Linked DNA regions of Arabidopsis thaliana. The protein of the gene in region 2 interacts with the protein of the main gene of each other region in a pairwise test. Each region holds a gene or a part of one and is shown on either strand. Other genes may lie near its edges.

Region 1 (11,820 bases), on a different chromosome or scaffold from region 2:
TAGTCTTTAACTGCGAACAATTATAGTAACTTTTTACTTTTGAACATCGCAAATACTACTAAGATTCAAATAATAAAATTCGAATGAAAGCAAACCATATGGTAAAAAAGAAAAAAAATCTCAAGTCCGAGAAATTATTTTTAATATCCTCGACAAATTTTAACTGAAAGTAACAGTACTTTTAAGTCTTTAATTGCTCTGTTAGTCTGTTGACAAAAGAAGAAAAGAAAAGAAAACGTCTTTAATTGTTCTAGACAATCTTCATTGACACGGAACTAGTCGAGCAATATACGTGCTAGATTTGTAGACGTAAATCATTCATTCTAATCATACTTTTTAGTACAGTCTCAAGTAATCTCAGCTTTCTTCAATTGGTTATATTAGTAAATGCTTTAACTGTTATTCCATTTTGTTGTTATTTTTTGGTAGCTAGGTTATATATACACCTCTTTGTGTACGTTTATGTATAAGTGTAAAGATTATGTGTATCAGTGTATGTTTGTAAAATATGTTTTCTGAAAAAAATACAGAATAGTATTTTAAATGTATTAAAGAGAACAGATATACGTATATGTAAAAGGTGTCTTAATCGAAGCAGGAAAAGAATTAAATGTATATATATTAATGTTAATCACAGGATTACAAAATCTTCTAAAGAAACTTACAAGATACTAAAAGAATGGCTACGTCAAAGTTAATTGTTGTGACTGCAATATCACGTAGCTTCACACCAAAAGCAAGCTATTAATATTGCAGTGTGAGTTAATTTCCCATGTGAAGTTATTTAATGATTTTTTATTTTATTTTTTGTAAGAAGAAATTGGTAAACACAAATTTATAAATTTTCCTATTAAAAACAATAGATAATAAAGATAATAATAACACGGAAGAGGTAATATCTTCCGAACTACTAGTATAATAAAAGCTGACAACCTTACAATTAATTTCATTTAATTGAAACTATGACCATGCTTGGCTGGATTTACAATTAATGTTAAGAGATAAGTATGAATGAAAACCAATGTTCGGATTTGGTATCTTATGTAACAATACCTGTAGAAATACATGGAATTAAAATGTTAAAATAAAGAGAACCAAAGTTAAATTACAGTTATTTTTGTCGACAAAACAGAAAATAAATTAGCTTTAATATTTCTTGTCTTTTTGTTTTTGTAAAAAAAATATTTACACAATTATATAGTTTGATACATTGCTTAATTGGTGGTCATGAACTATACTTTTACATTTAAAGATTAAATTTGACCGTATCTGAACATGATAGACGCGTGGATTATAATAAATACGGCTAATTAAATTAAATGCATATCATCTAATGATTCAGTTTAGTTGACTAAAATCCCTTACAAATACGTAAATCTTTAGAAGTGTAAACGACATGGACAGACTAACCAAACAATTTGATAATTTAGACATTTTAGCTTAATTAATTTACTTATTCTCAACTTCACAATACAAAAGCTAAAGTAATTATTGTCACAGAGAATATGAATGATTCTCAAGTCGAGTAGAGCAATTAACCGAATTAGTTTTAAGAATTTGTCTTTGTTAATCCTATCGTTTTGTAAAAACCACTATTACAAATGCTAAGAGAAGCAAGATTAGGAAAAACTTTAATGTTATAGTGAAGGAAAATGCTTCTAAGAACAGAAAATGAAAACTAGAGGGAAGATTAGAGGACTGAAGATTTTGCTTTATACATATACTAATGTAATATTATAACAACTACGACATTAAAAAATCAAATCAAACCAGTTTTATGCAAGATTGTACATTTTATGTCCAATGTCTAACACTATTAATTTAGAACAGTAGTTCTTTTTCGGTCTCTATTTCTGAAAACTAACAATAGATTTTAATTGATATAGCTACTCAGTAATTTTTTTGATCTCAGATCTCTTAAAACAAAAATTAAATTTACTTCGTTTGACAAGACCTTCAGATCTTTCAGGCACATGAATCACATTAATATATGTGCAATATCATAATGTTATCAATATCGAACCAACCTTAACTATAATTCATGCATTTTAGGTTAAGATCTAAAGTTTTTTCCATAACTCTTTTTATCTATGAAACATAATGTGCGAAGGTCAAAAGCGGTTTAAGGCAAAAATTTAAATTGTTGCCTTGAATACATATTTTTCTTTTAAAGACAAGAGTTTTTTTTACCATTTTTCAAATATTCTCATTGAAAATGAGATTTTGTGAGTTAATATCATGAAAATCAAAAATAATTTTCATAAATGTTAATGTTATGATTTTTTTTTTAAAAAAAATATCCTTAAACACTAATTTTAAGTAAATACTAGCCTTAATTTTTATAAAGATGTAGCCTATTAATATTATATTGTTGATCTAAGAGATTAGACATTCTACTTATTTTAGTAGCTATAATATGATTTCGACATAAGCTTCACGCTTTACTTACAAAATGTTTAGATTCATAGCGAGTAAAACGTCGTAGAATCAAAGCTCAAAGCCAAATCTTAGTCCTCCTCACGAGCAACATTTTTGCTATGATGTTGAGCTTACTCCGGATCTTTCGTTTCTTGGCTTTTGATCTTACAATACAATAAGATTTAGATCAACAAACCCACACACAGACCATAAAAATCAACAATCAATCATATATTGCTCTACAGTCGTGGGATGGCGACGAAATCTGTGTTACCATCTCCGTTCGGCTCGCATTGTCCAGACTCGTCGGAAGTCCTATTCCGAAGAATATTCGCAGATCTGTTGGCCGGCGGCTTTTTTGGATTTTCCGATTGAAGATTAGGGCTTCATAGTAGATCGGTTTAGTCAGTTTATTAGCTCGGGTCGATTTTGATTTAAGAGCTTGGTTCGGTTTGGTATAGTTGATTGGGCTCTTTTCAAATTTTGTATGGATCTAAATTCGAAAATAATCCATTAAACCATTGTTTATAATATTAAATAACCAATAACAAAAAAAAAAAAAGTTCTCGCCTTCTCGGTTTAATCTTCATTCCTTTTTTTTAATACTCTTTTTTTTTAATTTGTTGAGAAATTGGAGATTAAAAATAAAGCCCAAAATAAAATAAAAAACCCCGGCCCATTAACAGTTAGTATTAAACAGCTTTTGCAACAGACGGCGGTAAACGATAAGATGGTGTTTTTTATGTCGTATCCGCCGACACGGCGGCAGTTAGTAGTGTCGGTGGGTTTTTTCGCGGCGGGCGTTTCTCTCTTCGTCGCCGGAGCGTATCTCTCACTCGCCAACATCTCACCGCAACAAGCTCGCGTCAAAGCTCGTAATGATTTCGTCAAGGATCGAATCAGGAAATGGCTCGACGATTAGTGTCTTTTTTTCGATCTTGTAGGCGTTCTAACTCTTAAATGATATAAATCAAAAGACGATTTCGTGTAAATTCATGCTCTTACATGTTTGGATCATTACCAGTTCAAATTCATGTTTTATGTCACTTACAGATGAGAGAATCACTCTTGACAAAACGAGCGAACAGAGAAAAAATGTAGATGTAAAGTCTTTAGATTCTGTTATCTCTGCGCTGAAAATGTGAATAAAATTTCTTGATCATATTACCATCTTGATTTTCTGGCATTCTGGTTCTCGCCTTTCGAAGCATCCGATAACCGCGACTTTGAAACAGATCCACCGCGGAAGTTACTTAGTCTCGAACCCGAGAGGATATGGTGATCTTTTGAAGAAGCCTTGTTTGGTTTATAAGCTTGTGTTTCATCTATATACCCTTTAGGCTCAACGTCAATAGATCTTCCCCAATCCAACCCTCCATCTCCACTTTTTTGAAGCTTCTCGCTCTGTACAACCCAATCAACACAATCCGATATGCTTCTTTGTAAAGAAAGGCTTTTCCTTGGCGTTGATTTTCTTCCTCTGTTCTCTTCACCATAAGGCCATTTATAGCTCTTGTTGTCTATGTTCAGTTCTATGGAATGAAGGTCGCTTTCGCCTGAACCTTCTTCATTTCCATTCTCGACTTCTCCATCTTCGATGTTATATGATCCAAAACTGATGTGATGGTTTAAATAATCTCCAGCCTCTTCGTTATGTAGCTGAGTTTGAGGTGGTTCACGGGTCTTCTCTTTACATCTTTTTGCTTTGAGGTAAGTTTGAAGCTGGTTTCTTAGCTTATCAACAGCTGCGTTTTTCTCCTCGAGCTGGTGTTTAGCCTCCGATAGTTTCATCTGTACTCTCTCTTCCCGCAATGCATCTGCTAACTGCAACATCTCTCTTTCCTTTTCGACTTCTTCTTTGACTTTAAAAGATTCTCTCTTCAGTTCTTCAACTTCGGCTTTGTCTTCGCTTATGTCTCTTGCTAGTTCATCACAAACTTTCTCAACCATCACTCTCGCTCGCTTCTCGTTCTCGATTTCTTTAACTGCTTTCATCAGAGCTGATTTTGTTTCAGCCAATTCTTTGCCCAATTTCTTGTTCAAGCTCTCAAACCGTCTCCTCAGCTTCCTCTCCACTTCTAGCTCACCAGCAACAGATTCGATTGCAGCCTCAACAACTTCTTGCTCGTTGCTTTTCCACACAGCTTTCTCTTCGGCAAAACGCTTCATCAAGTAGCTAATGTCGTTGTTTTCCGGTTTATGTTCGTGGATTAACTGATTGACCTGTAAGCGAGCTCTTTCGAGCTCAGAATGTAAAGCAGAGACGAGGGACATGCTAGAAGATGGGCGGTCGTCTTGACCCCACATTCTGTTAATGATTTTGAGAAGCTCTTTTGATGTTGTGAGAGCGTTACTACAATCCTTCAACCGTGTTTTGACACCCACAGTTGACCCAGTCGGTGTCTCCACCCGTGATCGAGTCTCAATCTGCATTGGAAAAACACATTTCAAATATTTTTGAACATCACTCTCTTGCACACATATTGATTTATAGATGATGGAGGCAAATTAACTAATCATAACGGATTGAGTGTCTCCTAGTTTCTTATACCGTTATTTGCAATGTTTCTGTGCATAACAAAACAAACCATAGATTATGTGTACGTATGCTTCCAAAGTAAAAAAACCAACAGCCTCTGGAGCCAATAATGCTCAATAATATACTACTTTCATCCTTAATCAAATACCAAATTTGGTTTGAGAAAATTATGAAAACTGCTAGAAGAAAGGGTTCCTCATAATGCTCAAAGAAACATCCCCAAGAGTGAAAAAAAAATAAAAAAATCAACTTACATCCATGAAGCTGCCACTGTTAATAGGATCCCTAGCCCCCACATTGCAGTCTCCAAGCCTAAGCTTTTGCACAGTTGATGAAGCTCTTCTCTGGCGACTCCCAGTCCCTGATCTTTCCATCCTCTACAAAAATCAACAAGTTTCTCAGCTATCCAATTACCTAACACACAGAAGTAAAGAAAGCAGAATTCTTCGCATTGTCCATTGCCAGATTTAGCATTATATATAATTTTTCTTAGGTCTCCATTATAAGAGAATCTAGGCCTACATTATTCACAATAAATCAACCTCTAAAAAACAACCAGCTACCTCCATATGACCAACGAATGAGAAAGAATAAAAACTAGTAGAAGTGCCCAATTATGCAAGAATAATAGGCACCAACTTATAAAGAAACGCCCTTTCATATAAACATAAATGTGCGTTATAGAGCACATGACAAAAGATTCTTAAGATCAAAACAGTTTTCTATTCTTCTCTAATCCCACTCCTTAACATCAACCAGAAGCTTATACGAATAATAATCTCCCTTGATGATTAAAATACTCATAGAGGTTGCCAAAAAAATCACAACTTTGACTAAATTCAGACCTTAGAATCACACAAAGATTATCAATTTTATCAGTTAAAGATGAGATCTTTATAACTTCCCCGAATCAATCAATACTATACTATATATATTATTGTTTTTCTCTCTCTCTTTTGATCGGTCAGAATTAAAGCACATGGCAGCCAGCAAGAAGTTGGAATTACAGCACATTCTCTTCCTCTCAACCAATCATAACCAAAGCATTTTACCTCAGAGACTGGACTATGCGACGGATCAGAAAGATGAGGCGGTAGAGAACCAGAATGAACCGATGATCTCGGCGGAGGAAGCGGCGCGATTCTCTCCTTTCTACTCTTTCTAATCATTGGCGCAGCCTCCTCCACAACTCTAGGTGAAGGCATCTCGTTCATCTCCCAAAGCGTCGCAGCTAACTTCCTAGCTGAAACAGGAGCAGGAGCTGATACTTTACCGGTTTTGCTCCCGCAGTGAGACGACGGAGAAGCAGCAGCGTGTAAAGCACCGGAAGCTCGTGGAGAAGGAGATCGACCCATAAGTCTCCATGTAGGTACAGGAGTAGTGGATCCTCCTCTTTTACCAACAACTATCGCTCTTTTGAATCTATAACCTTCACGGAGAATCGAAGAAGTCGACGATGTCGGCGAAGAACAACCACGTTTCCTGATTTTGCCAAGTAGAAGTAGATTCTCTACGCTTTGATTCTGCCTCGGCATATTCAAAACAATTGTAGATCTTTCTCTTTACCTGGAAAAACAAAAAGCAGATTCAGAAAATTTCACCGATCTGTTAGAAAAAAGCACAAAGACCAAAATTGAAGTTTTTAGAGTGAGTAAGAACACTTACAGAAACTTCAAAGCATTTCTATGGCTTCTTCTTCTACTTCAGAAGATAAAGTTGGAATGGGAATTGGGGGAATTTGGAAAGAAATGGCGGTTGCTGTGTTTTGAGGTTTTTTGATCAGACTAGTGTACAGAGTGTTATGTTAAAGTGAAAAGGGGAAAGATGACAGGAGTACTCATCTTCTGTGATAAGGAACACTGTAACATGTCCACGTGGTTTGATCTGTATGGATTATGGATGTTGCTCCGTGATTTACAGGGTGGATGATTTGTAAACCGACTTAAACCGAAATAATTGAATCGAAAACCGGAAATCACTTCCTTTTTATCGGTCCTGAAATAAGAGATTCTCAATTAGAAAAACAAACTAATCAACAAATTTCTTTAGTGAAGAACAAACTTATATAAATAGTATTTAGCAGTAAACATTATTTATATTTGGTTAGTATATGGTAAGAATTCGAATGAAATAGATCCTAAGTTCAATTTCACATGTTAAACCAAAAATTATGTAGATGTCATGAATTTATATCCATATTTCACAAAGTTTGACGGCTCATTGAGAACAATTATTTTCGATTAGAAGAAAGTCCATCTGCCTAAATAAAGGGAACTAGTGCATCTAATTTTATATTTGACCAAAAATATTATGCTCGTCTATGATATACTATGGGTTAATTTGGAGATTGGATCGTGTTTGTACTATATAGGGTTTCTTAAATGACGTGTTTGAGTAGGATGCATTAGATTTTAATCATTTGATACACAATTACATGAATCGATAAAAGACCAAATAATCTAAGGTTGTTCTTTTTACCAAACCAAGATTTTTAGGTTATAAGAAAATAGTTCCTTTAGTAGATTCCTAATGTGGACCAAAATATCTTGTTAATCTCATGCTTATGACTCCTAAATCATATGATCATGTTCCTATATGAGGTATATAATATACCATTTTTCTCCATTAGACGAGTGTGAGTGAGAACCGGTGTGCTTAAGTTACTCATTACAAAATGTGTCTACTACTATTCCAAGTATATAGATATTCATTTCAATAGGTTTTGAAGTTTTATCTATACCCACAATTTCACAAATCACAACCCGTTATAATTATAAATGAATATTGATATTACAGATTTACACTCGTGTAATTGAAAAATGGATGACCGAAGTATTCATGTGAAACCATGAATATTAAAATGCATGTATTATTTTTTTTATAGCAGGATGATCAGATATGATTTCCTAGTTTTCAAGATATTGCATCCATAAAATTCACAAGTTAATTATTTGATCAAACTAAACAATTGAAACTGTAAACGTTACAAAGAAAGATAACACGGCCACACTTTTTTCCGTTGTCAAATGGACACGTCCAAGTGGAGGAGATGATTCAACATACACAATCGTACCGTATTATTGTTCAACTCTTTATTGTTGTAAACGTTTTTTGTTTGGGTCAAGTCTCTTTATTGTTGTAAACACGATTCTTTCTATAGTACTTTCTGTCACATAAGTTTTTTTTTTTTTTTATGGTGAATCCGGAAACAAAATCTGTTCGAAAAGACAATTCAACCTAGAAATAGTTGGATCTACATCATATCAAAATATATAGGTAGCAATCAATATAAAACATTAAATATATGAACAATGTAAGACTATAGTGTTAGATACAATTGCGTACAAAAAGTTCAAAATATATATGAGTCAGGCCCAACTAAGATATGAATGCCCAATAAAGAACTAAGAAATTGGTTGCCAGAACTGTATTCCTATGGGAGTCTTCTTACTTCTGACTTCTAATTTCTAACAACAATTTAGTTTTTTTTTTCTCTTTTTTTTTTTTTTTTCTTTTGGCTGTCAAAGATCTAAGTTGTAATAGTTTTGTCATTTGATGAACTTTTCAATTGTAATAGCTGACTCAAAAATTTACCCAATCACCATCAGTATACCTTATGGTATGAATGCATGAATCTATGGTCTACCAACCATCAATCTTTCACTTGCTCCATTACCCAACTATCAACATCTACTATGATATATGACAGAAATGGAAAACGAATATAAATTCGTTCAATAAAATAAAAAATATATATGTAGTAGATAAAGTTGTGGTTGAACCTATGAATGAATATTGGATAGATGTGCAGACAAATGTGTGGAGTGTGGACCTTTGCCGACTATTGCATGTTTTCATCTTTTGTACCGGAAGGAAAAAATAACTTACCATTTTCTATTACCTTTATAGCTAGATATACAAATTTATAGAAAAATAAGTAGTATTAAAAAAGAAAAGAGAGAGAAAAAAAAAAGAAGAAGAAAATCCAAAGCGTGAGGGTAGCTTTCGGATAAACACAGAAGATTGTCTCCATTTTCTTTGGAAATTTTGGGATCATGGGCGTTTTGTAGGACCCATTACTCTCTCAGCCCTGCTTCTGCCACTCTGTGGGCCCAATTTAAAAGCCCACTCTTGTTTCTTTTCTAAACCACGTGAAAACAAACCACAATATGTTATATTCAATCAAACAAAAACTCTATTATCTCTCAAAGTATCTGTCATATGTTTTTCTAGAAAATTTGATTATAATTTTTCTTTTAATCTGCATTCATTTGTCCACTAATGATGTGTTCCAACAAACATGTTCGCTCTCATTGACGAAGAGCTAAGTCAACAAGTCAACTTGTTGAGAGTTATGAGATGTCTAATCCTAATTATACACATCATTAGAGGGATACATATATATAGGCTTTCATTATTTTTATTTTTCTATTATTATTTATCCCCATAATGTAAGTTCTTTATTAAAACACATCTTTCATTCGTAAAGAAAATAAAGTTAAAAAAAAAAATTAGAAAATACAATAATTTTTTGTTTTCTATAAAAATTATAAGCGAAGGCATCGAATCATATATATTTTTTTTTTAATTAGTCGTATATGATTTCTCTTATGTTTTTATTTACAGTATTTCACACCGTGTATTTATATTGTCATCTTGATTGGTAATGTTGAAGACTACAATTGATCATTTTCATAGGCGTTCGTAAACTACTGATTTAACATTATATTGTAATAAAAGAAGCAAAAGGTGGTTAACTTTGAAATGGGGACTCTCAAATAATCGAAATTTTGATGCAATGTAGAGAGCTCAGAGAGTAGATAGAGAGAGGCGTGCAATTGTGTGTTGTTCTCATTGTCCCACCATCTCTATCTTCTTTTGTTTTTCAACTCTCCCAAACCGCCAAACTTAGCCGTACCTTTTATTTTTGTCTTCTCCATTTTATAACCTTCTTTATTTTAATTTTCTATTAGAAGTAAAAGTTTTAAATGTTTTATCTTCTATAGTGAACAGTGTGTTAAACTTATCATCCGTTATGATTTTTGTAATATACGATCAAAAATAATATTGACTTTTTTAAGTTTATTAAATAACTCTATTTTTTTTTGACAGCTATTAAATAACTCTAATATTCAAATAGAAACCAATAACTTAATGTGAATAAATTAATGAATTATTATATTAGGGGTTGTATATAATGTTTCATAATTGCTTATCTTTCAGTTTACTCTAGTTGTGATATTTTCCATTTCAGTTTACTCTATTGGTGTGTTTTTTCTACGGAATTTTGGTGTTTGTTACTTATTACTCTTGTTTTTTTCTTTCTATACTTTGAGATTTAATATTTTCGGTCTAAGTCTAAGATATCGGCTGCATAAATTTATATCTGAACAGTGCAGATATTTTTATTTTTTAAACCTCTTAACACAAAAAAAGATAAAGATGTAAAAGAAATATGTGTGGTCCACTCCCTCCGAGCATTTAGCTTTGGTTTCATAGAATATACAACAAATAGCTTTGGTCCCCTACTTAGGAGAAACAAATTTAAAATTATATGCAAACTAATTAAATCTCACACGTACATATATAAATATCTGATTGTTACTATTTTACTTTAGGATTGTTCAAAATCTGGATAGTTACTTTAAAGGTTAAACCACTTTTCTTACAATTTTTTTTAAATAAGCAGAGACTGATGACGTGGTTAATGTTACAACGTCTCCCATATAAATATAAATTTTCCTTGCTTGCAGCAACTTTTTAGCTACACATTAATCATAACGCGAGGTCAAACACACATTTAGTCGTTTACCATCATCATAAGTGAAAATATGTCGCAGTTGTAAAAAACAAGACGTTTACTATATATGGTAGTCAAGAGACTGAATTATCTTGTTTTCTACTAGTAGTAGTTCTTATAAATTCGGAGACCAATTTAAACCATTAAGAAAATATTTGAATAGCCATAGATAGGGCTAATATTTAATCATCTCGAACATTGTTGCCGACGTATTTGTATATAATTAACAGCATGCAGGATCTACACCATTGGTTTCAACATGACTCGTTTAATGTGTAGATTTATTATCATAATATTATAACCAATGGATTAATATTGCCATAGCAAGAACTAAAAGAGAAAAAAATAGAAAGACAATTCATAAACCTGTCTTTAATTTGCTAGGGAATGGTGAAAATGTCAGAAATAGAAAAATAAAAAGCAAAAGTAGCAACTTACCCCTGAGTTTCATGAAGCTTCTCGCACCATTCACTTTCCATAAATGACAAACTAGGTTTGTCGTCTTCTGAACATTTTTATCAAAATTTTTTTTGCAGACTTATCATTTTAGGAACCCTCCACGAATTACATGGCAGATTCCTCTCGTGTCTTTCCTTTGTGCTCAAGATATCATTATAATCCTATATATTCGTGTCTATGTCGTGTAATATGTCTATATACCCATGAAACACACTTTAATCTGTAATTTCAAATCCAAAAATGTTTTGTGATATTACATATATAGATGGCACATGCGGCCTTAGATCCAAAAAAAAAAAAAGAGATGGTACAAGCAGCCAAGTGGAAATCTTCTAAAACATTTGTTTTAAAACTTGTGGTAGTAAGTTGTTTTGCTTTGTTATTTATTTTCCACTAATGCAACAGTCACGTAAATTATGTGATCGTGGAAAACTGAGTGATTTGTTTGTTATTTCGTCCAAACGCCATGACTATATATAATAAACATTATTTTTGTCGTATTTCTGGAATACACGCATAAAGTAACAATCTCCGTTTTTCGAGCTATGACCTCTAAATGTCACAAAATTCTCCAGTCGTTTTGTGATCTAAACCAAAAATCACT
Region 2 (10,248 bases):
TCCTAGCTTCAAGCTCGTCATCGTTGGTGATGGAGGCACAGGTACAGTATTCTTCGCCGTGTTTTTTGACCTATTGTTTTTTGTGATCTCTGAAATTTGATCGTCTTTTCACTGTCCCCATCTGAAAGCATTCTCGTTTAAGAGACGGATTTGAGATTTTGATGATGTGCTGATTAGATTTGTACGATTGGTTTTTGATAATATCAATGTTTGATTGGTTTTAAAGAGAACCTTACAGACTAGGCCTTCGTTGAGCAGATCTTTGGGATATCGATTCTTAGATGATCCGGAATGTTGTTTTCATTGGCTCAGTTTTAGTATGGTTCAATGTTTTTGATTAGTTCTTGCTAAACCTATGATTGCTCTTGGTGTTTTGTACAGGGAAAACGACCTTTGTGAAGAGACATCTTACTGGGGAGTTTGAGAAGAAGTATGAACGTAAGTATAGCAAAGATGCTTGTGAATGCACAATTTCTGTGAACATCATCTGATGTTGAGTCCTAATCTTGTTTGTTGCAGCTACTATTGGTGTGGAGGTTCATCCTTTGGATTTCTTCACAAACTGCGGAAAGATCCGTTTTTACTGCTGGGATACTGCTGGACAAGAGAAATTTGGTGGCCTTAGGGATGGATACTAGTAAGTATACATATCTCCATTGATATGTTTGTGTGTATACTCAATCTAGAGTGTGTATAGTTTGGATTAGCTCTGGTTGGTTTGTGCGTAAAATTGGCAACCGATTTGTTACCTGGACGGTGGGAATAGGAATCGTATGTTGTTGAAGTAATCTGTTAAGATCTCAATATCTATTAAAGTTTGCATTGTTTTGATTAGCGCTGGTTAGGTTGTGAAATTCAAGAACCATCTCACATGTCATGTTTGCAACTATTGTTACCTGGACAATAGGAATAGCTGACTGGGACTTGAATGATAATGGTTTGTTTGATATTCCATCTGGATATATTGCTAATCTTCGGTTTTCTTGCAGCATCCATGGTCAATGTGCGATAATAATGTTTGACGTCACAGCAAGGCTCACATACAAGAATGTTCCGACATGGCATCGTGATCTTTGCAGGGTGTGTGAAAACATCCCGATTGTTCTGTGTGGAAACAAAGTCGATGTGAAGAACAGGCAAGTGAAGGCAAAGCAAGTCACATTCCACAGGAAGAAGAATCTGCAGTACTATGAGATATCAGCAAAGAGCAACTACAACTTCGAGAAGCCTTTCTTGTACCTTGCTAGGAAACTGGCTGGAGACCAGAACCTTCACTTTGTGGAGTCACCAGCTCTTGCTCCACCAGAGGTTCACCTTGACATTGCTGCTCAGCAGCAGAATGAGGCCGATCTTGCAGCTGCTGCAGCTCAGCCTCTCCCCGATGATGATGATGACGCATTTGAGTAAAATCTTCCAAAAATGTCTGCTGTGGTTTTCCTCTATGATGTTTTTTGAGTTGATGTTACATATAAATCAATCGGTCTATTTTAGAACCAAAATTGGGGGAATTATTTGGATTGTTCTGTTTTTTGGGACCCAAAGAGAATTTGCAGTCAAGTTTTTTCTGCCTTAAAGAATATGCGGTTATTGGAAAACTTTGATTCTACCCACTTTTCTTTTACTTTGCCAGTTGCAACATTTTAGATTTTGTAACTATTGTAGCTACTTGGTCATATGAATCAAACATAAAAGGAGAATATTTAGCTGTGCTACTTGAAATTGTTAGTTTAATCACTAGTGTTTCAATTACGTACACAAATCTTCTCATCTCCTTTTTTATGTATAGCTTTTAGGCCATGGCATGAATCATATATACATTGCTAGTCTTCCTCAAGTCCAACGCAAAGATAAAAGAGTAAAGATGATCAAATTTTCTTTCACAAGTTTGGAATTAAATCAAAAAACCTGAATGAAAAATAAAATGACATTTGTACAATCTACACTCAGTTTTTATTCTATGTAACACAAACTGTAGTTCTCAATGCTGCTGCTGCTGCTATCTGTATATAGTACTGTTATCGTCAGAGATAAGGTTTCTTATCTGCATCAGATGTTCCTCATTCGAAATGTTCAATTTGAGACGGAGATTTGTAATCCACGTTTCTTGTTCCCATGTTATGATTGGTCCGGATGCGTGCAATCTCTCGATACTGCTTCGGTATGCATCCAGCTCTAACCTATGAACATCAGCAGCCTCTGAGCCTTTTCTTGGAACCACCAACTTCTTGACCTTCCCGTAGCCACAAGACGATGACTCTGTGTCACTAGAGTTACCGGTTTCAATGGGATTGAATGAAACAGCACTGAGACCATCAGTATCCATGCAACAACTACCAACAGAAGAAGCAACACTCTCTCTATCTTCTTCTTCTTCTTTCACTTCTTCACGAAACCTTGGAGGATAAGCAGCTAAAGCTCTAGTTTGATTGTGAGGTTCAACCAAAGAGTAAGTCCGTTTCTTTAGACCTACTGACAAAGGTACATCAGACTCATCAAGCTTGTCTTTGCTCTCAGATGAAATGTAGTCGCCTTTCGGATTCACCTTTCTCCTTAGTTCTCCTGTTGAAGTCTGTGCGCTTAATCTTGATGTACCCTTCAGCCAAATGGTAAAATAAACAAAATGTCAGCTCAAAAACAGACTTTAAAAAGATATAGTCACAGAGGAAAGAAACAAGTACCTGTCCAATCATGATCCACTCGTTATCTTGCCAAGATTGTCTAACCCGAATATCGGATTTAGTCACCTTGAACTTCAGTGAGGAACCAAGTAATCTAACCAAGAAACAACCGTTTCCTAAAACCTTGGAAACGATTGCCATCTTCCACGAACAACTTTGGAAAACCTCAAGAATGTCACCAGGACACCAAGCATCAAGAACTTGTAAACGAGGAGGCTCAGGCCTCATACTCTTCCTCGGTACCCTCTCTGTACCATCATTATGATCATACATGACAGTGTAGTAATGCCCATTTCCTGATATGATCTCTGCAGACCGCCAGGCGCCAGATGGAACCGATGATTTGCTCAACACTTCGACTTTAGTTCCCTTGTTGAATCTCATGATTGCTGCTTCAAAAACACCTTAAAGTAAATATCTTTTCACATTCCAACTGCTTATAAAGATCAGAATTGAACATCACATATGCTAAAAGGCTGGTGCTTCACAATCATTAAGCAACAAAACAAGATAAATACATCCAAATATCCAGAAACAAGTTGGACCAATAAGATCCATTAGACTCATTCACATCCAAAAAATTCAACTTCAACCAATTGGTATAAAGATTACAGATTGTTTTGCTTCATAATCACTAGATTGCAGAAAAAGTCCTAAATTGCAAAAAACCAAATCCAGAAGCATACAATGGCTTGAAATGTTAATGAAATTGAAAACAGAGTATGACTCAGTTCCTAGGATCAATCTTCATTACTGAGAAATTGATTAGGGGAAGAGAATCAAAAATCTTTAAGCGGACATGAAGAGACTTAAAACTCAAAAATTCAAATTAAAAAAAAAAGAAAAAAAAAATAAATTTGAGATTGTGATTGTGATTACCTGAAAACGAAGTTTTAGTTTTTAGGTTAGTGAATGTTTAACACGCAAAGAAAGCCATGAATGATTCTACTGCCAGAAACAACAAAGCTTTGTTTTTTTTTCTTTGATATTTCTGGGCAACCAAACTTGGATCAAAAGGGCAAATAAAACAAAATTAAAAACGTATATGCAAATAATTATCAAAAGGAACAAAAAAGATAAATGTATATTCCACATCAGCAGCAGCAAGCCAAAAATCATTTTTTAAATGAAAATATTTTTAAGAAAATGAAGAAGAGAATATTTCAAGTTGCATGAGAAATAGCCTTTTTGTTTCATTTTATTTGATATGGGACTATTTTGTGTAAAATAACCAAAAAAAATGTAATTTGATAAGTGAGAATAACTTGATGGTTTGTTGGAAGATATGTAAAAGATTAAAAGTTGAATTTGTTATGTTTTCTTATATTTGAGATATCTAAAAGAGAATTGTTTCAACATTAATTAGACCTCTATGATTTGGTTTATTTTTCATAGGAGTGGTGTATAGCATTTAATTAATTCAATGAATGATTTTGATATGAGTTGACCAAAAGAAAAAGAAGATTAATTGGAAACATGATGTTGTAATCTAGGTGTTGATCAGCCTAAGATAACACTAAACATAACGAAAGTGCAAAATTTATAAATTTAATCACCTTATCTGAAAGTTATCATTATTTTGAGACTAACATATCCCTTGCTCGTCTTATTGGTTCGACATATCAAATACTTACACACTTATGTACGTAATTATAGGATAATCATAGTCTGTAATTCATAGTATAACAGTTTATCAATATGTATTGACGTTACGTTATTTGTTTGTTTCTAGGTGAGCACGAGCAAAGTGCGTGTTCCGGTGTGCCAAAAGTTTCGACATATTTACTTAATTTAAAAACAGTTATTAGAAAAAGAAGGAAAAAAAAACGTAATGGGGATGGTCAGGTCAGGTGGCTTTACATAATTCCCAATTCACTTTTGAGTTTTTGGTCATAAAAAATATTATCGAGATCGTAGGGTCCATATTTTTTGGCTTCTAACGATCAAATTTTATATTTTAGTTTGTCTTTCCCTTGCAGTACTTATTCATATCTTCTTGATTTCACAACGGATTGTGTCATCACCTGAACAATAGTGTTAGAATTATTTGAATGCGACTCCTAATGGTTCATAAGATTTTACAACTTTTGAATTTCTCTTTTTTGGAAATCATTATTGCTTCCTAATTGTATGAGCTCATGAATAAAGAAGGGTGTGCAATATTTTCTTCATACGTGTACTCAAGAACATGATCCAAAATCTTGTCTACTCGTAAAAAGTTTATAAGCAAAACACACTTTTGTTTTGGTTTTGGTTTTGGCTTTTCCGGATAAAATGAAGCAGTGTTTATGCTATTGCGCTTTCCACGCATGAAGCTTCACTCTTACATCCTTCACTCCTGATCCATTCTAACACCGAAGAACAGTCCTCTCGTCTTACGAAATGCCTTCATTAAGAGATTCAACCCATTACCAAACGAAGAAGAATTTAATAACCAAAAGAAAGCCTAATTTAGTGTTATGTTTGATCTTTGTACCTGTTTTTGGAGCGATACCCCTTTAGTTCAGAAGCTTCTCGAGAATCTCTTACGTCTTTGCTCATTCTTAGAGACTCCGGTATCTCCACCATCTCTGCTTCGCTCTCATAAGCATCGTATATGCATTGAAGTATTGAATCCTGCCAGAACAATGAATTATCACAATGCTTGGTTGATAGTATATAAGAGACTGAATAGAACAGAGAGAGCCCTCTTAAACATATACCAGAGGTTTGGAAGCATTGAGCCAGTGGTACATAGGCTCACACCGGAACCATGTCATTTGCCTTTTTGCAAAGTTTCTGCGTATCAAGCAAACCAAGTATTAGTTTAAAAGCGATAAGAGAGGATAACATGGGTTCTTTAAACTTTTGCAGGAGACAAAAAGTGAAGAAATGAATCAATGTGAAAGAATCAAAACAGAACTTCGACTTTCATTTATTCTCAATCACTATTTCGTCCAAAAGCTAATACACTAGATATTTCAAGTCTATGTAGAGGATTCACCTGGATGCTGTCTGAAATTTGTTCAAGAAAGCATAAAATTCTCTAGGGGAACTTTCGCCCTCATATCGACGACATTGTAATAGATATTCCATGGCCTGAAAACAAGGAATCATATTTCCATTGTTGATCAAAAACGGTATCAAAGTACGACAAATAAATTGCAATGATGAAGTCGTAAAGTATTTCATTTTTCCAACTAAATAAGAATGGACTTCCTTTCTGAACCAACTTGGTATAAGTGGATGATGATATATGCTAATAGTAATGGCTATATGTCTTAAACCGAAAAATAACTGTTATATAACATGGAGTCATGCAATTTCTAGAACCAAATCCATATTCTTCACTGAACTGGACATGCTGCCAAATTAACAGCTACAATCCACTGCAGAGCCCTTGGCTAATTATAAAGACTATGCACTAGATTAACAGAAGAAAGCCTTCTCTTCTCAGTTCGTTATTCACAACCCAGTACAGGAAATAAAGAGTTCACCTGTCTGTACCCAATGGCACGAGTTGCAGGATTTGAGTTTGGAAGAAGACCAAGATCAAGAAGCCATCTAGCTTCTGACAAAACTCCATTGGGTCCTGAGTTGAGAGACAAAGCACCAAGGAAAGATAAACTCAGAAGCAATGCCAAGCAAATATATACAAAATTGCATACGACACAGCAAAGAGCATGCAAATTGTCTCTTTTTTGGGTTATAATTAGAAGAATCAGATAAGAAAAGACTTATTACTGTAAGGTGCCATGCAATGGGGCTGCAATTGTATTCTTGCAAGTTATTACTAATTAAGTAGTAGCACTTATTTTTACCTGAAAGCATGTCTTCACATCTGAAATCAATAGATCTGTAGAGAGCAACCCGTGGGCTTGACAAGAAAAAACAAAGAAAGTCATAGTCCAAATCTGTCTCTATGTTTTGGATAGAGATATCGGCAGATGAACCGTCCTCAAGGAAGTCATCAGCATCAGGAGCAACTAAATTTACTCGAAAGGAATCATAAGGAATGCGAAAGGAAGACGGAGGCGATCCAGTTGACTGCCAGGAAAAAACATTCAAAGCAAGATTAATAGTGCATAGTTGCATACAATCCAAAATAAAACAATGATAGTTCATCAACCTATCAGGCAAGAAATCATTTATCTACAAGGGCAAGACAACAGTTGAAGTTAATAATTGTCAAACCTTGAGTATCTCGAGGCTACGGCGTAGTCTGTACCAATCATTACGAGGTAAAGAAGAAGCTTTTGGATCACCAGCATTGACCACCAACTCCACAGCTGCGTCCCAGTTATATTCGGTTTGAAAACCAACTAGCATATCATGGGCCTCAGCGATAACTTCTGGAGAAGGTTTAGGCACATCCGGCTTCCCATACATAAACCTAACATTAACAAAAGCATGTAAATGGATGAATTCTAGATTTTGCAGTATACTATAATTGCTTTTAACATTATACGAAAGAGCCACTAGACAAGTATATAATCTACAGCCATACCATCGCAGATACAATCCAGTTCCACCCGTAACAATGGGAACACGCCCTCTATTAAGAATATCTTTGGTAGCTTGCCTTCCATCATCATAAAATTGCCCCACAGAGTAGTCTAACAAAGCATGGAAAAATGTGTAAGTTTCTTCCTTTACATACATCAGTATCAGAAGCATCTACACTAGTGGCATTTGCAATAGCAACAAAGTCGACAAATACCTTGAGACGGATGCAAAATGTCGATAAGATGATGAGGCACCACCTGAATAATTCGTAAAACATACAACTTTCAAATACAATGTGATCACGAACGGCACCAACGTGAGATAGAAATGAATAAATCTTACCAAATATTTCAGAAAGATACCTTTCTATCGCTATCTGATGGCTTGGCTGATCCAACATCAAGGCCTTTATACACCTGTGATTGGGGTAAAACAAAAGCAAGAACCTTTTTAATCCACACCAAACATAGATGCGAAGTTCTGGAATTGATAAAACTAAAAACTTCAACTTTAGCAATTATCCTCAACAAGGTTTCAAATTTCAAGTGAGCTGTAACTTATTTAGAGAGTACAAGTGAGAAAATGGACCTGAACGGAGTCAGCACTGATGATTTCGCCATTGAGTCGCTTAGCGAGCTCCATGGCAAGTCTGCTCTTTCCTGCGCCGGTGGGCCCAGAAATCACAATCACCTTCTCCTTTTCAGACTTTTTCTTCTTGTTCCCGTTCAGAGGAACAGAGCAGGCCGTGGTGGCTGCGCAGAATCTCCGGCGCAGTACAAGGCTTGGCGGTTGAAGTCTCAAGTAACAGGTACGGGTCAAAAATACGCCACTGCCAATCACCATTATAAACGGATAACGAAGCTTTGAAATTTAGAATTTGGAAGATAGCACAAGTTTGCTACGGATATACTGAGGTTGATAGAAGGGAAGGAGGACGACCCGCGCGAAAGCTCATCTCGAAGAGAGACGAAGACAGTGAGCAAGGGATTAGAGAACTACGGTTCGGTTAGGTTTACACATAAACCGAACAAGCGAACCGAAATTAAACGGTTTACTTAAACCTAGACAGTTATAAACGATGTTATCATGTCGTGTTAATTACTTACACAACCAAAAAATGGAACAATTACATATGGTTTTTGATCAATTACAGGGTCCTATGATTAGGTTTTTTATGGTCGGGCTGGTAGGATTCGACCGGTTCGATCCATCTATATATTCGAAAATTTAAATTATAGGATGTGTCTTTAGTCAAGTGATTAAGTTCATTTGATTTTACATTTTCTTAAATCTATTTGATTTTATCATTTTTATCGGAGTTCGACTCTATTAAGCCGTATAACCTCGCCTATGTAGTAGGAATTGGGTATGGATCGGGATTATAAAACCAAACATACATAAAGAAATATCAAGATGTAACATGTAAAATTAGTCATATACAGAGACAAGTAGTTTATTGAAGATGCACCATAGTGATCATATATGTTGATTAAGTACACTTGTTCTCTCGAATAAGTCATATCCTTTGTAGCCACGACTGTTCCTTGATCATTGGCCACGAATTAGTCAAAAGATGGACACGAAGATCAAATAAAAGTTTTACCTCTTATCTTTCGTGGCTATTTTGACCGTAAGAGACAAAAAAACAACAAGTAAAACCGTGAAAGTTAACACTAATTAACGAATAAAGAATCTATAGAAGCAAATATTGTAATTAAAATTTCAAGTGATCACAATTCACAAATGAAAAAAGTTCATTCCTTTATGTGGCGTAGCTTCATAGTAATTATATAGTTGCACTTGAGAAAACCCAAAGCATAAAACCACATAGAAAGAGAACAATAGGGATTAGGTGAATAGCTCTCTCTCCATTAGCAGACTTGTAACTATTGTTGTGTAGAGACAGTTCCTTCTTGGCTATGTCGTCGTAGACCACGAGACCGTCAGGGCTTGCGGAATCCACCGAGAGGTTAATCAGAAACTCTTCAGATGGCCGAGAACTTATTTGTAACCTTTGCATCTTATGGCGCCTTAATTTGGATTTGGAAACTATATATTATACGAACGGTGATCTGCTTATATATATGGTCTTTAGCCACTATGCAGTTTTGTATGTATAAGGATTTCTATTCGTCACAATATCAACATTATATATAAGATTTCAAAAGTCAAAGCGTATAGTATGCTTGGAGACATTTAATGTTGCATGCAAACTCCTGAAGTTATGGCTTAAGTTATGATGAATATGATAGGTGAACTTTGCTTACGAAATTTAAACTTGTTAAAATAGCTTTTGATAGCAAGACTTATACGATTCGGCTATCCCCCCAAGAAGAGTTGAAATTTGAAAATGAAAGATATCAAAAAAAAAATTGCATCTTAAATTCTTTTGATCTAGTTAACAGTTGTAAAATTGTGGTCGTAAATCTTTTTTTTTCTTTGCTTTTTTGGTCATAAAATCTTTCATTTGTTTCGATTAGCTTTATGAAAAAGTCACATACTACAAGGAGTTATATTGTTTGTATACTAATTTTTTGGCTGCACTAAATTATATTAGCATAGACGCATTATAAATCGAGACATAGAGCGTTGACAAATAAGCACTAAGGTATATAAACTCGTTCAAAAATTTAAGATTTCTGTTTGATTGCACCGAACTTAAAGGTGCACATGCATGTGAATCTTTTCCACAAGTCAAAATGCGCGTTCATATGACAACGGACTTCTTTAAATATATATATTCATCCTAACAATATCTAGCTAGTTAGGAATACATGCTAGCTATACCATAATATCAAATTTTTATTAATCAAGAAATTCAAGGCCTTAAATTCACCAGAACAAGATAACGTAGTCCATATTCTCCGTTACATATATATGTTGTAGCTTTATGAATACAAGTTGTATGGATGCATGTACAGAATACAAGTACTATCATAAGTTTTTCATAGATTTTGTCCGGCCTGCGTCAATTAATTAATCCAACCAACTCTTGGTTAACCTGTGAAAAAATTACATATAATTTCCTACGAGCTTGCATGAAAAGAAAATATAAAAAAATACATTGCATATATGCATACCCAAT
Region 3 (10,262 bases), on a different chromosome or scaffold from region 2:
TTTATAAATCTAAAATGATATATAATTCGTTTAATTTTAATATCTAAATCCTGATTAACCTCATTTATAAATCCAAATAGACATATAAACCTTAATTACTTTTTTTATAAACCCAAACCAGACCAACATATAATTTTGTTTAATTATAAAATCTAAACTTATCATTTTTTGATAACTCTAAACTAACATATAAATTTGTTTAGTTGTAAAATCTAAATTTAATCTTTATTTATAAACCCAAACCGACATATAGTTTTCTTTAATTGTAAAAATCTAAACGCTAATACTCGTTTATAAACCCATGCGGAATGTACTTAAGCTTAAAAGTATACATATTTTTTTATTTTTTTATTTTAATTTATTTTATCTTTTTATTTTTATTTTAATTTATTTTTAATTCCGTGGCATATTGTTAAAATTTTTTTGGCTATGAGTGAATAAGAATTTGTTGAGAAAATAACAAGGGGACATATCATCTATATCAAATTATCCTTTAATCGAGATTTTTATTATCCCATTTATTTCCCTGAAATTTGGAAGTTTGCTCTTGACTTACGCTGCTAGTGAGTTGACTCGAGGGTCAAGAAGACTCTTTCATTATGTAATTATGTTACATAAACCTCTTTTATCTTCAAACTATCGTGTGGTGTAGAAACGTGGAGACCTGCAAGAACAACTTGTTATTCATCTACTCTGTAGTCTAGTTGACTCGTGAGCCAAGAAGACTCTTTCTGTCTTTTATTTTCAAAACAAACATGCAGATTTGCAAGAAGAATGTGTTTTTATTATACTACGGAGTGTTGGTGTTCTTGTCTTTTCAAGTTTCTTCTTCAACTGACACTATTTCTACCAATCAACCTCTTTCAGGATTTGAGACCATTGTTTCCAGCGGTGATATATTCGAACTCGGTCTCTTCACCCCAACTCCAGATACTTATGATCATAGAAACTACTACATAGGAATGTGGTACAGGCACGTCTCTCCACAGACTATTGTTTGGGTCGCAAACCGAGAATCTCCTCTTGGAGGGGATGCTTCTACTTACTTATTAAAGATCTTAGATGGAAACTTAATTCTCCATGATAATATCAGCGCCACCCGTAAATCTCATACGGAGGGGACATCTCGGAGATCCCCTCAAAAGATCTCAGAAGGAAACTTACTTTTCCATGAAACAGTTTGGTCGACCGGTGTTAACTCTAGTATGAGCAAGGATGTTCAAGCTGTTCTGTTTGATAGTGGTAATCTAGTATTGAGAGATGGGCCTAATTCTTCTGCAGCTGTGTTGTGGCAGAGTTTTGATCATCCCTCGGATACTTGGCTTCCTGGCGGTAAAATCAGATTAGGAAGCCAACTTTTCACTTCTTGGGAGAGCTTGATAGATCCATCACCGGGTCGATACTCTCTCGAGTTTGACCCTAAACTACACTCACTCGTCACGGTTTGGAATAGATCAAAGTCATATTGGTCCAGTGGGCCATTGTATGATTGGCTTCAAAGTTTCAAGGGATTTCCAGAATTGCAAGGTACTAAGTTGAGTTTCACATTGAATATGGATGAGTCTTACATCACCTTTTCAGTAGATCCCCAGAGCAGATATCGTTTGGTCATGGGTGTTTCGGGGCAGTTCATGCTGCAAGTTTGGCACGTTGACTTACAGTCGTGGCGTGTGATATTGTCTCAACCTGATAATAGATGTGACGTTTATAACAGTTGTGGATCATTTGGGATTTGCAATGAAAACCGAGAGCCTCCCCCATGTAGATGTGTTCCTGGTTTCAAACGAGAATTTTCCCAAGGATCTGATGACTCGAATGATTACTCTGGTGGTTGTAAAAGGGAAACATACCTTCATTGTTATAAGCGAAATGACGAGTTTCTTCCTATTGAAAACATGAAATTAGCCACTGATCCAACAACAGCATCGGTCTTGACATCCGGGACTTTTAGGACGTGTGCCTCACGTTGCGTAGCTGATTGTTCTTGCCAAGCGTACGCAAATGATGGAAACAAGTGTTTGGTGTGGACAAAAGATGCTTTCAATCTGCAACAACTCGATGCAAATAAGGGACACACATTCTTTCTTAGACTTGCATCTTCAAACATCTCAACTGCAAACAACCGTGAGTATTTTCACTAACAAATAAACGAATGCGTTGAGATATCTCTAAACTCATTTTTCTACTCAGGAAAAACAGAACATTCTAAAGGCAAAAGCATTGTGTTACCACTTGTACTAGCATCACTTGTAGCAACTGCTGCATGTTTCGTTGGTTTGTATTGTTGCATTTCTTCAAGAATAAGAAGAAAAAAGAAACAAAGAGGTGAGATCGGTTTTAGCTTTTTGCATAATCACTATACAAGATTTCTCACTAGTTTCTGAAACACGAATTATACGCAGACGAAAAACATAGCAGAGAGCTATTAGAAGGTGGCCTAATTGATGATGCTGGAGAAAATATGTGTTACCTAAATCTACATGACATAATGGTTGCAACAAATTCTTTCTCTAGGAAAAAAAAGTTAGGAGAAGGTGGTTTTGGTCCAGTCTACAAGGTATTAATTAAACAATACAATTAATACTGAGCTTGTAAGTTTGTTTGGCTAAAGGTTTAAACAAAGTAGCTAGTTTGAATATCATCATCGTTACAATCTTACTATAGAAACTTTGATGGGCAGGGAAAGCTACCAAATGGGATGGAAGTGGCAATCAAAAGGCTTTCAAAAAAATCAAGTCAAGGTCTGACAGAGTTCAAGAATGAAGTTGTTCTGATCATAAAGCTTCAACACAAGAACTTGGTGAGGCTTTTAGGGTATTGTGTTGAAGGCGATGAGAAGCTCCTAATTTATGAGTACATGTCGAATAAGAGCCTTGATGGTTTACTCTTTGGTGAGTGGTGAATATAACTATCCAAAACTACTACATTTGAATTTGAAATATAAATAATTGACTTCTTAACGTTCTGTTTTTGGGCACACATATATATATATCTATATAGATTCTTTAAAGTCTAGGGAATTGGATTGGGAGACACGTATGAAAATAGTAAATGGGACGACAAGAGGACTTCAATATCTGCATGAGTACTCACGTCTCAGGATCATTCACCGAGATCTTAAGGCAAGCAATATTCTACTTGACGATGAGATGAATCCTAAGATCTCAGATTTTGGAACCGCAAGGATTTTTGGTTGCAAGCAAATCGATGATAGCACCCAAAGAATCGTCGGGACATTGTAAGTGTACATCTCGTATAGTTAGTTATGTATCCACTTGTTTCAAACACTAAAATGTTGAGTTTAAGTTTATGTTTCTCAGTATTATAACACACATACTTTTTTTTTCATTCCTAGTGTCTTTGCAACTTATTTATGAATGATGTTTGAAAAAACTAAAACATTGTGCTGAGGTAAGTACATAATTTTTACATGTCAATGCAAAGGAAAAAACAATCACTACCTATATGTATTTACATTAGAATCTTTGGATTAAATTTCATAAGCGGTTAATTTCAGCGGCTATATGTCACCGGAATATGCATTAGGTGGAGTGATTTCAGAGAAATCGGATATATACAGCTTTGGAGTGTTGTTATTGGAGATCATATCGGGTAAAAAGGCGACAAGGTTTGTTCATAACGACCAAAAACACAGCCTTATTGCTTATGTAAGTGTTTCTATAGTTCAATATCATTTATCTACCATATATAAAAACGTAACTTACCTTAGATCAATCCCAAACTATATGTTGTTGATCATCTTCAGGAATGGGAATCTTGGTGTGAAACAAAAGGTGTAAGCATTATAGATGAACCAATGTGTTGTTCGTATTCTTTAGAAGAAGCGATGCGGTGCATTCATATCGCACTTCTTTGTGTTCAAGATCATCCTAAAGATAGACCCATGATTTCACAAATCGTTTATATGTTGAGCAACGATAACACTCTTCCGATTCCGAAACAACCAACTTTCTCAAACGTGTTGAACGGGGATCAACAGCTAGACTACGTATTCTCCATAAACGAAGCAACGCAAACAGAACTGGAAGCGCGATGAACATTAACAATACTTGGTAAAAATGTTGCTATATCCCCTGAATTATTATTATTTTTTATTTTTTTTTAATACCAGGAGGTTCTGGGCCGAAGCCTGTAATCTTCCAGGCCCGAAACCACAACATGTAATATTAGTTTCGTTTCAAGTGTCACTCGAACCGGCGACCTATAAGCTTCGTGTAGGGTTTTTACCAATTGAGCTAACGACACTTGGTTATCCCCTGATTTATTAGATAAGAGTATTTACTTAAACTGCTTATGTGATGCTGAGAGTGTTCTTTAAAATATTTTATTCTTTGTCATTTGAAAACAAAGTAATCAAATAATTGTTGAATCGTCCTAAATGGTCTTACTGGATTTGGGCACAAAAAGAAGAAGACAATAGCAAATTACGACTTGAACTTATCAACCAACAATTCTTTTCATCATAAACTCTCGTCAGTCTAATAAAACAGAGCACTCAATCTCCTTAACGTGAAGATATGGGTGACGTGACAGAGCTGTGACCAGGAGATAAAGATGGCGACCAGGGCCAATTTGTTTCTTCCTCTACAAGAAATCTATTACCAAATGTTGGATCAGGTAAAGGAGTAGAGAAACAACTAAACCAATGCAGAACTTTATCAATATTCGGCCTTCTCTCAGCATTCTCATCCACACATAGCAAAGCAATGTGAATGTATCTCAAGATTTCGCTTATCGAATATTCTCTTTCTTCTTCCCTCATCACTTCATGGATCACATCTATGGCTTCTCCTCTGTTCCAGCATCTCCTAACCTAAAAGAAGACAATTCATACGATTAAGGAACCACTTAATTACCATCATACAAACTTTTACTTAAATATAAACTCACATATTTGATTAGAGAGTCTCCGTCCACACTCCAAGCCTTCCTTCTGCTAATGATCGTCAAGATTGTAACTCCAAAGGCATAAACGTCAGATTTGACGGAAACACGTCCGCTTCGTATGTACTCCGGATCTAAATACCCTCTGTTGATAATCAAAAAATGTTTTATACATCACACTCTAAACATCTTCAAAACATTTACCCTCAAGCATGTTAAATCACAAAACTTCACTTACACGGTACCGACAATTTCAGTTGTTTCAGCTGCGTTTTCACCTTGTTGCATCGTCCTCGCCAATTCAAATCCCACTATTTTCGGTTTCAAATCTGAATCCAATAGAATGTTTCCAGGTTTAATGTCGCGGTGAACGACCCATAACCCGGATTCTTCATGAAGGTAACGTAGCCCTCGAGCTATGCCATCAATAATGTTTCGGCACATCTCCCAATTTAGCTGAGCAGCTCTGTGTGGGTCTGTAACACATTACCACAATGACTAATGATGAGAACTTGATACTAGACTAGATTGTATTTGGAAAGGGTACTCTGTTTTAAACTGTCTAACCGAGTATAAAACAATCGAGGCTTGAGTTAGGCATGAACTCGTAAACAAGACCATGTTGGTCTCGTTTAGTGCAGAAACCAAGAAGATTGATCAGATTCTTGTGTTTAAGCTTAGACAAAATAATAAGTTCGTTATGAAACTGTCTCTCAGTTCTAATTGAACTTGTAGACAAAATCTTGACTGCTATTTCTTGTCCATTTTGAAGCCTACCCTGAAAATGATTTAAAAGGATGTTTTAATTACAATTTCTTACCATACACTAAAAACGAACCAACGTACGAAACCACTAAAAACAAACCTTGTAAACAAAACCAAATCCGCCACGACCAACCAGTTCTGAGAAATCATTTGTTGCAGCTTTAATGGTGTCCAAGTCGAATTCGAAAACTGCTGTATCTAGTAGAGACAAGTAGAATTAAACATAGTTTTGTGTGTTTTGTAACAGATGTGAGGAAAAGGTTTGAGAAGAAGAAACATGAATACTTACAGCTTATAAACTCAGTAGACTTCTTCTTTCTACGTCGGAAAACGGTATCGAGAAGCGAAGTAACGGCCATAGCAAAGATGAAGACGAAGACAGTGTCTCTGAATTTGCTTCAAACAAGTATTTAATCCAAGAAAAAAGAAGAACTTATTAGACAAGTTATTTAATTTCTTCAACGGTTGACTTCGTTGATATTGTTAGAGTCCACTATGTTGACCTTGACTTCTACTATTCATTTTGGATATTTTGGCTTCTTCATTTGTTCTTGCATTGTTTTTAATACGTAACAATTAACTTATTCTGAATATTGATATTATATAGTTTGGTATTGAAAATCAAATTATATTTCAACTAAAATGAAAATGAAAAATATATTATTTAGAAGTTTACTTTGTTTTGTTTTATTTGTATGTAGGTTCAATAAATAACAAAAAATAAATAGATATTACATAAAACATAGAAGATATTAGGTCTGTTGTTATAATAAACATATATATATATATATATATATATATATATATAACCATAGAATTCTACCATTTTTTTTTGTTTGTCACAAAGAATTCTACTTCAAGATGATGTTCTTGGAAGGAACGGAACTGAATTTTCAGCTACTTAGAAATTTCGAACCAAACCAACCACGTCACGTAAATGACACGCTGACAAAGACCGATCATAGAAAGCCAACGATTTTTGGGTCTAGACCAAGTGTAAAAGGACTTTAAGAGGTCGGTGCAATGCAACTTTTCCCGAGTTCAAAAGACCATACCTCTACTAGGATTCAAAAATCTTTCCAACTGACCCATTATTCGTATATAAATCATACATCATCTTCATGTCTAGCATGAAACATGGAGATCTTATCCGCAAAGCCATTATAGGGAACCGACCTAGCTACGCACCCGGATTTGTTTTCACTCTCCAAGAACTTGTCCCGAACATATAATATATCGATCAAATTAGTTATATTCTAAACAATTATTTTTAAAAAGATATGAAAAAATTATGTTAAATAAAAAACCTGTTAAACAATTTATTCTGAAATTATTTTAGGATTGCAAAGTTGGGTGAGACGATACAAAAGAAAAAAACAAAAAGAAAAAAAAAGCAAAGCTTAAATGCAGTAATCTTTTTTTTTATGCAACTGCTAAATTCAGTAAGTAACATCAATTTTTCTTCAGGGAAAAAAGTAATTCCCTACATAATATCTATATAAGCATTGTACTATATATGTTAGTTTGAAGGAGGAAACTTTTTGAAGTGTCGAGTCTCAGGAGGTCCAATGAACAAATCAGTCACCACTTCCATTTCATTGTCATCTATATCCAGTTCTGATGTTGATGATGATGATGATATTCTTCCTATTATTCCTCTTCCTTGCATCTCACACTTCATTCACACATTTCCTCAAATTAAAACACACTTTTTGAAAAAAAGCAGATAATTTCATAATAATAGAATGAGAATTGAGAACATAAATCAGCCCGTAAGTTAATATTAATTTGTACCTTCTCCATCAGCATTTTATTTTCTGCAATGAGGTTCCTCTCCTAAAATATTGACAATAAACCATGAAATATGGTTTAACCGTTTAATTATGGGAAATATGATTAGTACCTGACCAATACATTTGTACTAAATTAATAAAAAAGCTACATGTTACCTTTTCTTTTAATTTCTCAGTTTCTTCTCGTAATAACTGGTACTGAAATTAAGGAATTAAATAGCTAAATTAGTTGGTAAAAGACTCATTAAAGATAACATATAAGGTGATGACAAAAAAGAAGAAGAAGATAACATATAAGTCTTTTCTCAACACATATGCATGCATGCATGCATGCCTCCAAGTGTGTGTGTGTGTGTGTGTGTGTGTGTATGTGTGTATTTGGAGTGTTTATAGGATGATCCCATGTTTATATTGTTTACATAATCAACTCATTTGTGATAATCGAACCAGGCGGCCACCACGTCATTGTCATAAATCTCGATGAAACAATAACCATATGATAAGAGTGAAGATTTTATTTTAAAACTAAGAAATGATCACATATACAATAATCTAGAAGTTACCTTTTTGGCTCTTATTTTCATTAAGCTTCTGTCCAACTGGTTCTCCAATTGTTGTAACTCTTCTATAGAAGATGCGTCAAGTCCTTCTCCCATCATTTTTCTGCAAATGTATATATTTTTTAAACATATGGTAAATAGACGCTTACAATGTAAACGTTACATTCATAACAAAATATTCGTATAAGTATTTTGAGTTCAAAAACCGTGTCGAAATCTCCAAATGTTCGATCTTTCTCGCCAAGCCATAGGTTTCGTCCTTCGATTGCTGTCAACAAGGTTTGATCATGAGAAATGCAAAACATATTTTCTTAACCAAAATTGTAAGTACAAATATTAATATAAAAAATTATCACCCATGTTCGATAAATAAAGCATACACTTTAGCATGTATATTAATTTTTTAAAAGTGGTACACCAAAGGATCTACACCATAAAATTGTACTAGATATTGATATAGAATTTCTTTTTACTTGAGCTCTGGATAAGTATATTTTTAGCAAATGTATATATATGAAAATAACCATGATAAACTAACAATTCTATGAAGTTTGGTTACCTGTGAATTATCATTTCTCTTATGGTTAGACCCGAGATCTTGTATTCGCTTTTGATATCTTTCTACTGTTTTAGGTATACTGAAATTAAAATTTCAAAAATCAAATCAGTATATCAAAAACAAAAACAAGTCAAATTAAAGGAAATAATTAAGAAGCAAATGTCTAAGCTAGATTTCTCACAATTTAATGATAATGCTTATAGTATTGTGATCTAATAAAAATTGTATCAATCTTCTGCTGATCTTTTGGATTTATAATGAAGTAAGAATATCAATAACTAAAACATAATATATAAATGTTGCAATCTGAGTTAAAGATATCTTCTAGTCATGTGGATATGGCTTAATTAAGTAATTAAAAACTGATTAACAGGTAAATACAGTATGTGTAAACAACACCTATAGTTAGTTTTGATTTTTAACCCTCTTGGCTTGCTTCAAAAAAAAAACTAAAATATCATTCTTTTTTTTTGTCTAATAAAGTACGTACATGTAATTAAATAACCACATAGTAAACATACAAAATAATTTATAACTATACAAAATATAACAAATAGAGAAATCATAAAAAGAATCAACATAGTCTGATCTAGACACATGCTAATGACACCTTCACTGTCATCACTCATCACTCATCACTCATCACTCAGATAAAGAGGCCTTTGTAATTGTACTATTTGGGTGAAAAGTGTGTCAAATGCTTCTTTGTTACCTCAATATTGAATAAACATACATAAATCCTAAATGTACATAGGTGCATGCATCCACATATACACACATTCAAAATGGTATAGTGACGATTTTGAAAAGAAAAAGCGTTAGTATTTTTCTATTTTTGGTTTGAAAATTCCTCTTTGCCCAAGAGTAAAAAAGAGAAGTAATTTTACAAAACAGAAATAAATTAAAAGAAACGTTGGTCAGCTATTTATTGACGGGTACATGTACATATAAAAAATAATTAAAATTCAAAAGGTACATAAATTTTTCTTTGATCACCATTTTGATCTTGTATTACGTGGTGGTCGACAATAATAAATCTATATCATAATCATACATACCTGTTAATGTAGTTACGTACGTACATATATATAAAAATGAAATATGTTTAGAAATTATGTACATATAAATCTATATCATAATTATACATGCATATATAATGCAATACTTAGCTTCCTATGAAATCAAAACACTCAAATCTCATCAGTATTATTAGTGTGACACCATTATTTCAAATTACAAAATATATAACCAAATTCATGCATATATGTGAAAATGAGCAGTCTAATCCCAATGTTTTAGAAAACAAAACTTTTCAAGTACATCAATACAGTAGTAATTAAGTGCTTGTATATAGTATATACAGTATATGTATATGTGTGTGTGTCAGTGTGTATAAGTTCTTCCTACATTATTAAAATACACAAGAAAAAATATAATAGGGAAACACACCTCTAAAGAAGGAAATATTGTTTTTTCTAAATCTGGTTAAATATGAACCAAGTAAAAATGGAATCTATCTCATATGAGAATTTATTGCCTAATTTGAGTAAGAAGACTGTACTCAAACTTAGTGCTACATGTGTGTGTCGAATAGCATTTCAAGGTTAGCTCTTCTTTGTCAAAAATGTTTTATTTTTTACTGGAATTTTCTGTTAGTTGTCCAAACTCCAAACTATATCT

Evidence for each region.
Region 1: the proteins of AT5G20030 (region 2) and AT3G11590 interact in a two-hybrid assay, tested with the Arabidopsis thaliana proteins (one large-scale study listed by BioGRID).
Region 3: the proteins of AT5G20030 (region 2) and ARCK1 interact in a two-hybrid assay, tested with the Arabidopsis thaliana proteins (one large-scale study listed by BioGRID).

Annotation. Positions count from the first base shown.
Region 1 is NC_003074.8:3,655,300-3,667,119, reverse strand, and holds AT3G11590 (golgin family A protein), read right to left. Parts: upstream 6,823-11,820; 5' UTR 6,623-6,822; intron 6,524-6,622; 5' UTR 6,493-6,523; coding exon 6,010-6,492; intron 5,957-6,009; exon of another isoform or gene 5,335-5,956; coding exon 5,212-5,334; intron 4,846-5,211; coding exon 3,583-4,845; 3' UTR 3,386-3,582; downstream 1-3,385. Other genes in the region: AT3G11591 (bric-a-brac protein), read left to right, coding at 3,149-3,340.
Region 2 is NC_003076.8:6,762,975-6,773,222, forward strand, and holds AT5G20030 (Plant Tudor-like RNA-binding protein), read right to left. Parts: upstream 3,729-10,248; 5' UTR 3,558-3,728; intron 3,473-3,557; exon of another isoform or gene 3,068-3,472; 5' UTR 3,063-3,067; coding exon 2,679-3,062; intron 2,594-2,678; coding exon 1,997-2,593; 3' UTR 1,753-1,996; downstream 1-1,752. Other genes in the region: RAN2 (RAS-related GTP-binding nuclear protein 2), read left to right, coding at 1-41, 382-438, 520-637, 990-1,407; IPT9 (isopentenyltransferase 9), read right to left, coding at 4,965-5,064, 5,155-5,294, 5,381-5,456, 5,662-5,756, 6,137-6,249, 6,479-6,704, 6,852-7,050, 7,165-7,273 and 3 more; AT5G20045 (uncharacterized protein), read right to left, coding at 8,950-9,183.
Region 3 is NC_003075.7:7,144,036-7,154,297, reverse strand, and holds ARCK1 (Protein kinase superfamily protein), read right to left. Parts: upstream 6,175-10,262; 5' UTR 6,030-6,174; coding exon 5,960-6,029; intron 5,913-5,959; exon of another isoform or gene 5,869-5,912; coding exon 5,771-5,868; intron 5,684-5,770; coding exon 5,473-5,683; intron 5,382-5,472; coding exon 5,144-5,381; intron 5,051-5,143; coding exon 4,912-5,050; intron 4,835-4,911; coding exon 4,526-4,834; 3' UTR 4,373-4,525; downstream 1-4,372. Other genes in the region: AT4G11900 (S-locus lectin protein kinase family protein), read left to right, coding at 756-2,124, 2,191-2,325, 2,403-2,557, 2,681-2,891, 3,001-3,238, 3,518-3,668, 3,767-4,057; AGL14 (AGAMOUS-like 14), read right to left, coding at 7,190-7,345, 7,465-7,506, 7,620-7,661, 8,027-8,126, 8,230-8,291, 8,583-8,661. UniProt on the Arabidopsis thaliana protein: Forms a complex with CRK36 that may negatively control abscisic acid (ABA) and osmotic stress signal transduction.